Xenopus tropicalis: one gene and its partner. The protein of the gene in region 2 binds, or shares a complex with, the protein of the main gene of each other region. Links are inferred from orthologs where the notes say so. Each region holds a gene or a part of one and is shown on either strand. Other genes may lie near its edges.

Region 1 (4,121 bases), on a different chromosome or scaffold from region 2:
AACTGATTTAAGATAATCGTCAAAAGAGCCTGAAAAGTATTTAAAAACAAAAACATTCAATTTACTTTATATATAAATGTATTCTGGTAAGTGATTGATGTGAATGAGGTATTATGAAAATGAAAGGAGAGAAAGGGAGTGTGCTTTATAACAGGGCTGAAAACAAAGCAAGGATAGTAAAAAAGTGATACAATGAGGAAAATGGCTAATATCAGAAGTAACAGACAATTTGGGAAAGTGTAAGAGATGTTAGTAGAAGGGGAGGAGGATAAATGTTACCAGATTATGGTACAGAAGAGATATGAAGTATCAGGTTTATTAAGAAGGGTTGAGAAAAGGGGCTCATTAAATACTGAGCAGGATTCTGTTTGAGGTGTTCACAAGTAATTCCATAAAATGTCTTGCTGATTATTTCAGTGCATATGTCCTTGGCACCAAAAATAATCATTTGGAAAACCAGGAACAAGTTCTTAGCACTCTGCAAAATCAAGAACACTCCACCCCGTATCGTTCAAAGTTCCTGAGTATGACCGTTAATTGGAGATGTACTTGCCCCATGGCCACTGTTTGCAGACGGTAGCGATCAGACCCTCCATAAATCAGGCTGGATGACTTAAGTTGTGGGCCGCCGCCAACAAACATCTGACATATTTGCTCCTGCCATGTTCCCAGGGGTCGCCAGGTTGGGCTAAGCAATGAGTGAGTACCAGGGGTGGAAGGGATGTGGAGGAAGCTGTAACCATAAAGTTCATTACGACCAAATGTGTCCTGATGCCAGACTTGAAGGTGAAGTTTTGGCCAACCTAAGTGGGGGAAATACAAGCATTTAAAGTACATAATGTACTTTGCACCTTTGGTAGGTAAAGTGTGTTCATTTGAATGGGTAGGGTTAGGGTTGGGAGCCTGTGCAGGGGCTCCAATGTGATTACAATAATTTTAACAGATTCTTTATTTTATTCTTTATTCTATCATACTTTACCTTGTAATCCTTTAGTAGCAAAGTGCATGTCAATAGGGTGAGACCAGAATGCCATGTCATCATTTTGTGGATGATCTACTTGTGTCTGGCCTTCCACAACCCCAGAAAGTAGCTTCCAGGCTCCACCTAAATGTTATGGTAGGGAACGATGTTATTACAAATAGAAATATCATATGGTTAATAATAGATAGAGCCACACCAGTATCTTATATATCAAGATTTTCTCAAAACATTAACATTTCCTTTAAGACTCTTTTATATTGTTTATGTAAAGTAAAGCCAAAAATGGGCTTTAAGTTATACAAACACAGCCTTCTCCTTCACTTCACATTACTAGAATAAATACAGGGGTCACCTGACGCATATATTTCTTCTTCACATCACAAACTTAAAAATATATTACAGGTATAGGACCCATTATTCAGAATGCTCGGGACCAAGGGTAATTTGGATCTCCATAGCTTAAATCTACTAAAGAATCAATAAAACATTAATTAAACCCTATGGGATTGTTTTGCATCCAATAAGGATTATTTATATCTTAGTTGGGATCAATTACAAGGTATTGTTTTATTACTACAGCGAAAAAGGAAATCTGTTTTAAAATTCTGAATTATTTGATTAAAATGGAGTCTATGGGAGACGGGCATTCCATAATTCAGAACTTTCTGGATAACGGGTTTCCGTATAAGGAATCCCATACCTGTACTAGAATAAAAGTGGGGCCAACTGAATGCATATACCACATTTTCAACAGCGTACAGCTCCACAAAAAAACAAAACTGTGTTTTTTTTATGTACAATTGATATATAGATCCATTTAAAATGCAAAATGATGACTCTTACCTGTGTGTACTCCCCATTTGCAAAACAGGCTGTGTTGGGGGAAGCCACTAGCCCCAATAATTTGCCCTATGATGTGAACCTCTGCCATTACTGTAGGAGGAAAGGTAAAATATATTTCAGTTACATCATTATTGTGAAGAAACTAAATTATAATTTTTATTAGAAGTAGGTCCAACAAACAATAACAGCTAGAAATTACACTTCTTATACCATCTGACGCCAATATAAATATACAAGCCTCAGTGACCAAGTTTTCCTTTTTTTCTTGGCTGTGTGTGCAAAAACTTTCTTTTGTGCCTACTTCCTAAACCTATTTGAGCACTTTTATAAAAACTATGCGCAAGTCTAAAAAAATTCTAAATTATGCCTTTACATACAAAATTCTTTTTGCGCACCACAATTTATTACAGTAAAACTTTATTTTTCATCCCTTACTTAGGTTTTTTTATTTTGTGGTCCCTCCAAAATATAATGATTAATACATTTCAAGGATATGACATCCCCCATTATTTTCTAGTGGCCTCAATAATGTAAAAGGGCGGTTCTAATGCATGTGCCCTGACATCGTAATTTAAATATCCACAAATGCATAGCTTAGAAGGAACATTAGTATTACATATACATTTTATTTATTACCTACTTTTAGCGCAGTGTTATTACTACGTATATTATTAGTATATGTAGCTAACCCCCAGCAATAAGCCCTGTAAGACGTGGCATGTCATAACCAAACTGTTCATTACACATCCAATAAAACCAATTTGAAAGCATAATTTTATTTGTCATTACCGCATAGTGTATTACATATGTAACTAACCAGGTCAATGACCAACATCAAGCAAAAAAAACCTACTTATACCTGCACAAGTTGGGCTGTAATGTAATTCATGAGTGTGGCTATTCATGTACAGTGAATTTCATAACTACATAGAACACTGACAGTGAAGGCACTATAGAATCAACAAATAGAATCCCTAAACTGAGGGCCCTACAGCTTACACTTACAGAATCAGCCAAGAGCCTCTGTTTGTCAACTATCAGCTGCTGGAAAACGTAATACCCCCATTACACTCCCTACACTGGCGCCATTGTGTGTGCTATGAGCATATAAATTACTGACGATACATATTTGGATGATGGTGCAAAATCATCAGGACTCCATACCGACAACCTGCGAATCATATCTACCTTTGCGTATATAACACCGCAGTAGGGTAAGATGTAAGCGCTTTACCAGTTTATTAGCTCTAAATATTTTTCGCCCTCTTTTACATCCCGCTATAAATGCTTCCCCTAACCGCACAACTGCAACATAAATCTCACCGGACCCCCTCTGAAAACCGGCTCCTTGTCTTAGCTTTTTGCCCCTTCTAATTCTCACTTTGGTAGACTCCGCCTGTTGCTGTGCAACCGTTGCATACAGCAGATCTGATTGGTTCACCGGCGGAAGTGACGTCTGTTGTAGGCGAAATGTGTAAACTGATCGAGACTGATAGTCTGTGGGAGACGAAGTATTGGGATTAAACGATAGCTATTAATACTGCAATCTGTGATTTATAATACAACATAGTGTAATGGAACGTTGCTTAAACAGATATAGGGCGTCGTGTCGTGTCGGGTTCTGAGGCATTACGTATACAAGAGACATATTAGCGTCCATTTAAAGTTCAGCAAGTTAGTGGCTGAGGGGGGTGTAATGAGAATTAGCATGGCCATGCTGAAAATGCGTTTGTCTGCTCCCACTTTGTAGTCACACCCCCAAATGTAAAGCCTTTAAACCAAAAAGAACCCAGCTTTTAAAATGCTGGAAACTTTGAATGGCAGCGTCAGACGAAACGCATTCACTTTTATGACAGACATAGTGGCCAAAATATTTAATTACATTTTAAAAGAAGTAGGGAGATACTTGGATACATGAACGCAGAAGAATTTATTTAGGATATCCCTATCTGAAAAGGTGTCGTTGATCCAATTCATGCAAGAAATACATTAGTATTTTTGTTATAAAAGATTGCTAAAGCTGCTTTACTGCAAGACAAGCTGGTAATGAGCCAATTTTTGCGGAACATATGCTGTTATTTTAGTGTCTTTAAAAGATCCTGTCTGTTGCTTCACAAGATAACTGTTTGCCCCATTTTACCCCTTTCTCATTGAGTGATTTATTCTGCATGCTCAGTATGCATTTCTTATCAGATCTCTCCATTTGTCTCTGCCCATTTCCTTGTAAAAGAGCATTCTTTTGAGAGAGTGCACTGTTACTGACAGGTACAGATAGAGACCAAAAGAAAGATAGGGT
Region 2 (4,361 bases):
GCTTGAATGAATTCCGAAATGGTCGTAGTCTTTGCGAAAAATACGACTTTTAACGAAAACCACAAAAAGGTTGTGCAATTTTAAAAATATTATCGTGGTCATTACGAAAAGTTCTAAAAATTAGAAAGAAAAAAAAATCATGGTTTCATGAATGGGCCCCTAAATATTGCCACTAGGAAATGCCTCTAAAGAAAAAAAAAGCATGAAATGTGAAAACAAGTATAAGTTTGGCATGGAGTATAAATGCAGTGTGAGAATCGGCTGGCAATTAAAGGGCAACTGATACCAACACAGACCACAATGTGGGGAAAAATAACAGAGCAGTAAGATATTATGCAGCAAGGGTGGGTTCTGTCTCTCTGCTGAAATTGTTATACAGGTATGGGATCCCTTATATGGAAACCCATTATCCATAAAGCTCCAAATTATGGAAAGCCCGTCTCCCATAGACTCCATTTTAATCAAATAATTCACATTTTTAAAACTGATTTCCTTTTTTTCTCTGTAATAATAAAACAATACCTGTACTTGATCCCAACTAAGATATAATTACCCCTTATTGGGGGCAGAACAGCCCTATTGGGTTTATTTAATGGTTAAATGATTCCCTTTTCTCTGTAATAATAAAACAGTACCTGTACTTGATCCCAACTAAGATATAATTACACCTTATTGGGGGCAGAACAGTCCTATTGGGTTTATTTAGTGGTTAAATGATTCCCTTTTCTCTGTAAGGGCTCTGGTACACGGGGAGATTAGTCGCCCGCGGCAAAACTCCCTGCTCGCGGGCGACTAATCTCCCCGAGTTGCCTTCCCTCTGCCATCCCACCGGCGAACATGTAAGTCGCCGGCGGGATGGCAGACGCGGCAGCGCGATTTCGCGCAAATCGCCCCGCCGCGTCTGCCATCCCGCCGGCGACTTACATGTTCGCCAGTGGGATGGCAGAGGGAAGGCAACTCGGGGAGATTAGTCGCCCGCGAGCAGGGAGTTTTGCCGCGGGCGACTAATCTCCCCGTGTACCAGAGCCCTAATAATAAAACAGTACCTGTACTTGATCCCAACTAAGATATAATTACCCCTTATTGGGGGCAGAACAGCCCTATTGGGTTTATTTAGTGGTTAAATGATTCCCTTTTCTCTGTAATAATAAAACAGTACCTGTACTTGATCCCAATTAAGATATAATTACCCCTTATTGGGGGCAGAACAGTCCTATTGGGTTTATTTAGTGGTTAAATGATTTCCTTTTTCTCTGTAATAATAAAACAGTACCTGTACTTGATCCCAACTAAGATATAATTACCCCTTATTGGGGGCAGAACAGCCCTATTGGGTTTATTAAATGGTTAAATGATTCCCTTTTCTCTGTAATAATAAAACAGTACCTGTACTTAATCCCAACTAAGATATAATTACCCCTTATTGGGGGCAGAACAGCCCTATTGGGTTTATTTCATGGTTAAATGATTCCCTTTTCTCTGTAATAATAAAACAGTACCTGTACTTGATCCCAACTAAGATATAATTACCCCTTATTGGGGGCAGAACAGCCCTATTGGGTTTATTTCATGGTTAAATGATTCCCTTTTCTCTGTAATAATAAAACAGTACCTGTACTTGATCCCAACTAAGATATAATTACCCCTTATTGGGGGCAGAACAGCCCTATTGGGTTTATTTAATGGTTAAATGATTCCCTTTTCTCTGTAATAATAAAACAGTACCTGTACTTGATCCCAACTAAGATATAATTACCCCTTATTGGGGCAGAACAGCCCTATTGGGTTTATTTAATGGTTAAATGATTCCCTTTTCTCTGTAATAATAAAACAGTACCTGTACTTGATCCCAACTAAGATATAATTACCCCTTATTGGGGCAGAACAGCCCTATTGGGTTTATTTAATGGTTAAATGATTCCCTTTTCTCTGTAATAATAAAACAGTACCTGTACTTGATCCCAACTAAGATATAATTACCCCTTATTGGGGGCAGAACAGCCCTATTGGGTTTATTTCATGGTTAAATGATTCCCTTTTCTCTATAATAATAAAACAGTACCTGTACTTGATCCCAACTAAGATATAATTACCCCTTATTGGGGGCAGAACAGCCCTATTGGGTTTATTTAATGGTTAAATGATTCCCTTTTCTCTGTAATAATAAAACAGTACCTGTACTTGATCCTAACAAAGATATAATTAATGCTTATTGGATGCAAAACAGACCTATTGGGTGTTAAAATTAATGTTTTATTGATTTTTTAGCAGACTTAAGGTATGGAGATCCAAATTACAGGAAGACCCCTTATCCGGAATACCCTTGGTCCCGAGCATTCTGGATAACAGGTCCTATACCTGTACTACAACCCCCAGTTGCACCTTTGGGAGGGCTGAGAGTTTTAGTTAAACAACATGGAGCGCTAAAGTGAAAGTGAAGCAATGCAACGCAGCAACTTCCGCTTTGGCCTTAGCAACCGCACAGAGGCGCCTATAGCAACCACAGGAACTCCATAGACATAGCAGTAGCGTAAGCAACAAATTCCATTCGCTTATTCAATGTAACTGTAGCACAAACTGCACAACATACACACACGGCAACACTGAGTTAGTGTATCAGCAGCACAGACCTGTGTCACCATCCTCTGCTTCTCCTCAGAGTGTCTCATCGCAGCTTAGTGGCGACAGCTCCAAGCTTGGAACCCGAACAATTGTCCCCTCTTCGGTAGCTGCGGTTAAGTCTATAGTTCATTCAATACAGAAATGTACAGGTTCAGAAAGAGAACGACTTAAGCGTCGGTGAGCGCCGCCATTGGCCGGGGGATCGCACTCCCAGCATGCACCGCGCACTGGGATAGTTCGGTGGGAGGGGCGTACTACTGCTGGGTGTTTGCTGTAACGTTGCCATGGAGTCTCTGTACCTACAGACTCAGTTCCAGCTGCTAAGGCTGGCATTAGTATGTGCTGAAATGTTTAGTGGTAGAGACTTCTGTGCAGATAAACCAAAGATTTGTTTATAATATAACCAGTGATCGAGATAAAACGTGCACACAAATGAGGTTTATTTCATTATAACCAAGCATGTTCTTATTGGGTATGGATCGCCCTTACTGTATTCAGTCATAACCAAAGGGGTTAGACCAGGGATCCCCAACTTTTTGTTTTACCTGTGAGCCACAGAAACATTAAAAGAAGTTCTTTGGGGAGGCCAAATAATGACTGTGATTGGCTATTTGGTAGCGCCGTGAGGACTGTGTCGCTGTGCAGGGCCGCCATCAAGGGGGACATCGGAGAGCTGGAGACTTGGCAAAGGAGTGGGGAGCTCAGGTGCTTGCATCTTTTCCCCCTTACACAGCTTTCTTTTATAAGGGAAGGGACAAAATCCGACAACCAATGCGCTGACTTTTAATTAACACATTAAATCAATAAATTGCTCATTATACATTATTGGTTTTTTTTTACAGCACAGGTGCCTGCTCTTTAATGATGCGAGATTTCCTTTTAGTGAAGGTATCACAGTGGGGCATGGAAACTGCTACAACCTGTTAAACTGCCACAGAAAATATCATTTCACTTCATTATAATGGGGGGAAAGCAAAACATTGAAATTCACGTCTTTATTTATAAGTATTGTAGGGAGAGATGGTGCCTATAGTAGCAGTGGGATAATAGCCTCTGGGAAGGGACTGTGGCTGTGGGATAGCAGGTATAGTAGGGAGAGATGGTGCCTATAGTAGCAGTGGGGGGATAATAGCCTCTGGGAAGGGACTGTGGCTGTGGGATAGCAGGTATAGTAGGGAGAGATGGTGCCTATAGTAGCAGTGGGGGGATAATAGCCTCTGGGAAGGGACTGTGGCTGTGGGATAGCAGGTATAGTAGGGAGAGATGGTGCCTATAGTAGCAGTGGGGGGATAATAGCCTCTGGGAAGGGACTGTGGCTGTGGGATAGCAGGTATAGTAGGGAGAGATGGTGCCTATAGTAGCAGTGGGGGGATAATAGCCTCTGGGAAGGGACTGGGGCTGTGGGATAGCAGGTATAGTAGGGAGAGATGGTGCCTATAGTAGCAGTGGGGGGATAATAGCCTCTGGGAAGGGACTGGGGCTGTGGGATAGCAGGTATAGTAGGGAGAGATGGTGCCTATAGTAGCAGTGGGGGGATAATAGCCTCTGGGAAGGGATTGAGACTGGAATAGCAGGTATAGTAGGGAGAGATGGTGCCTATAGTAGCAGTGGGAGGATAATAGCCTCTGGGAAGGGACTGTGGCTGTGGAATAACAGGTATAGTAGGGAGAGATGGTGCCTATAGCAGCAGTGGGGGGATAATAGCCTCTGGGAAGGGACTGGGGCTGTGGGATAGCAGG

Evidence for each region.
Region 1: cc2d2a (region 2) and b9d2 share a complex: the UniProt entries of both Homo sapiens proteins name them as parts of the tectonic-like complex. The link is inferred for Xenopus tropicalis from reciprocal best matches to the Homo sapiens genes CC2D2A and B9D2.

Annotation. Positions count from the first base shown.
Region 1 is NC_030684.2:79,325,655-79,329,775, forward strand, and holds the start of b9d2 (B9 domain-containing protein 2), read right to left. Parts: upstream 2,802-4,121; 5' UTR 2,731-2,801; coding exon 2,685-2,730; intron 1,916-2,684; coding exon 1,826-1,915; intron 1,106-1,825; coding exon 980-1,105; intron 804-979; coding exon 487-803; 3' UTR 1-486. UniProt on the Homo sapiens protein: Component of the tectonic-like complex, a complex localized at the transition zone of primary cilia and acting as a barrier that prevents diffusion of transmembrane proteins between the cilia and plasma membranes.
Region 2 is NC_030677.2:27,856,388-27,860,748, reverse strand, and holds the start of cc2d2a (coiled-coil and C2 domain-containing protein 2A), read right to left. Parts: upstream 2,867-4,361; 5' UTR 2,670-2,866; coding exon 2,631-2,669; intron 1-2,630. UniProt on the Homo sapiens protein: Component of the tectonic-like complex, a complex localized at the transition zone of primary cilia and acting as a barrier that prevents diffusion of transmembrane proteins between the cilia and plasma membranes.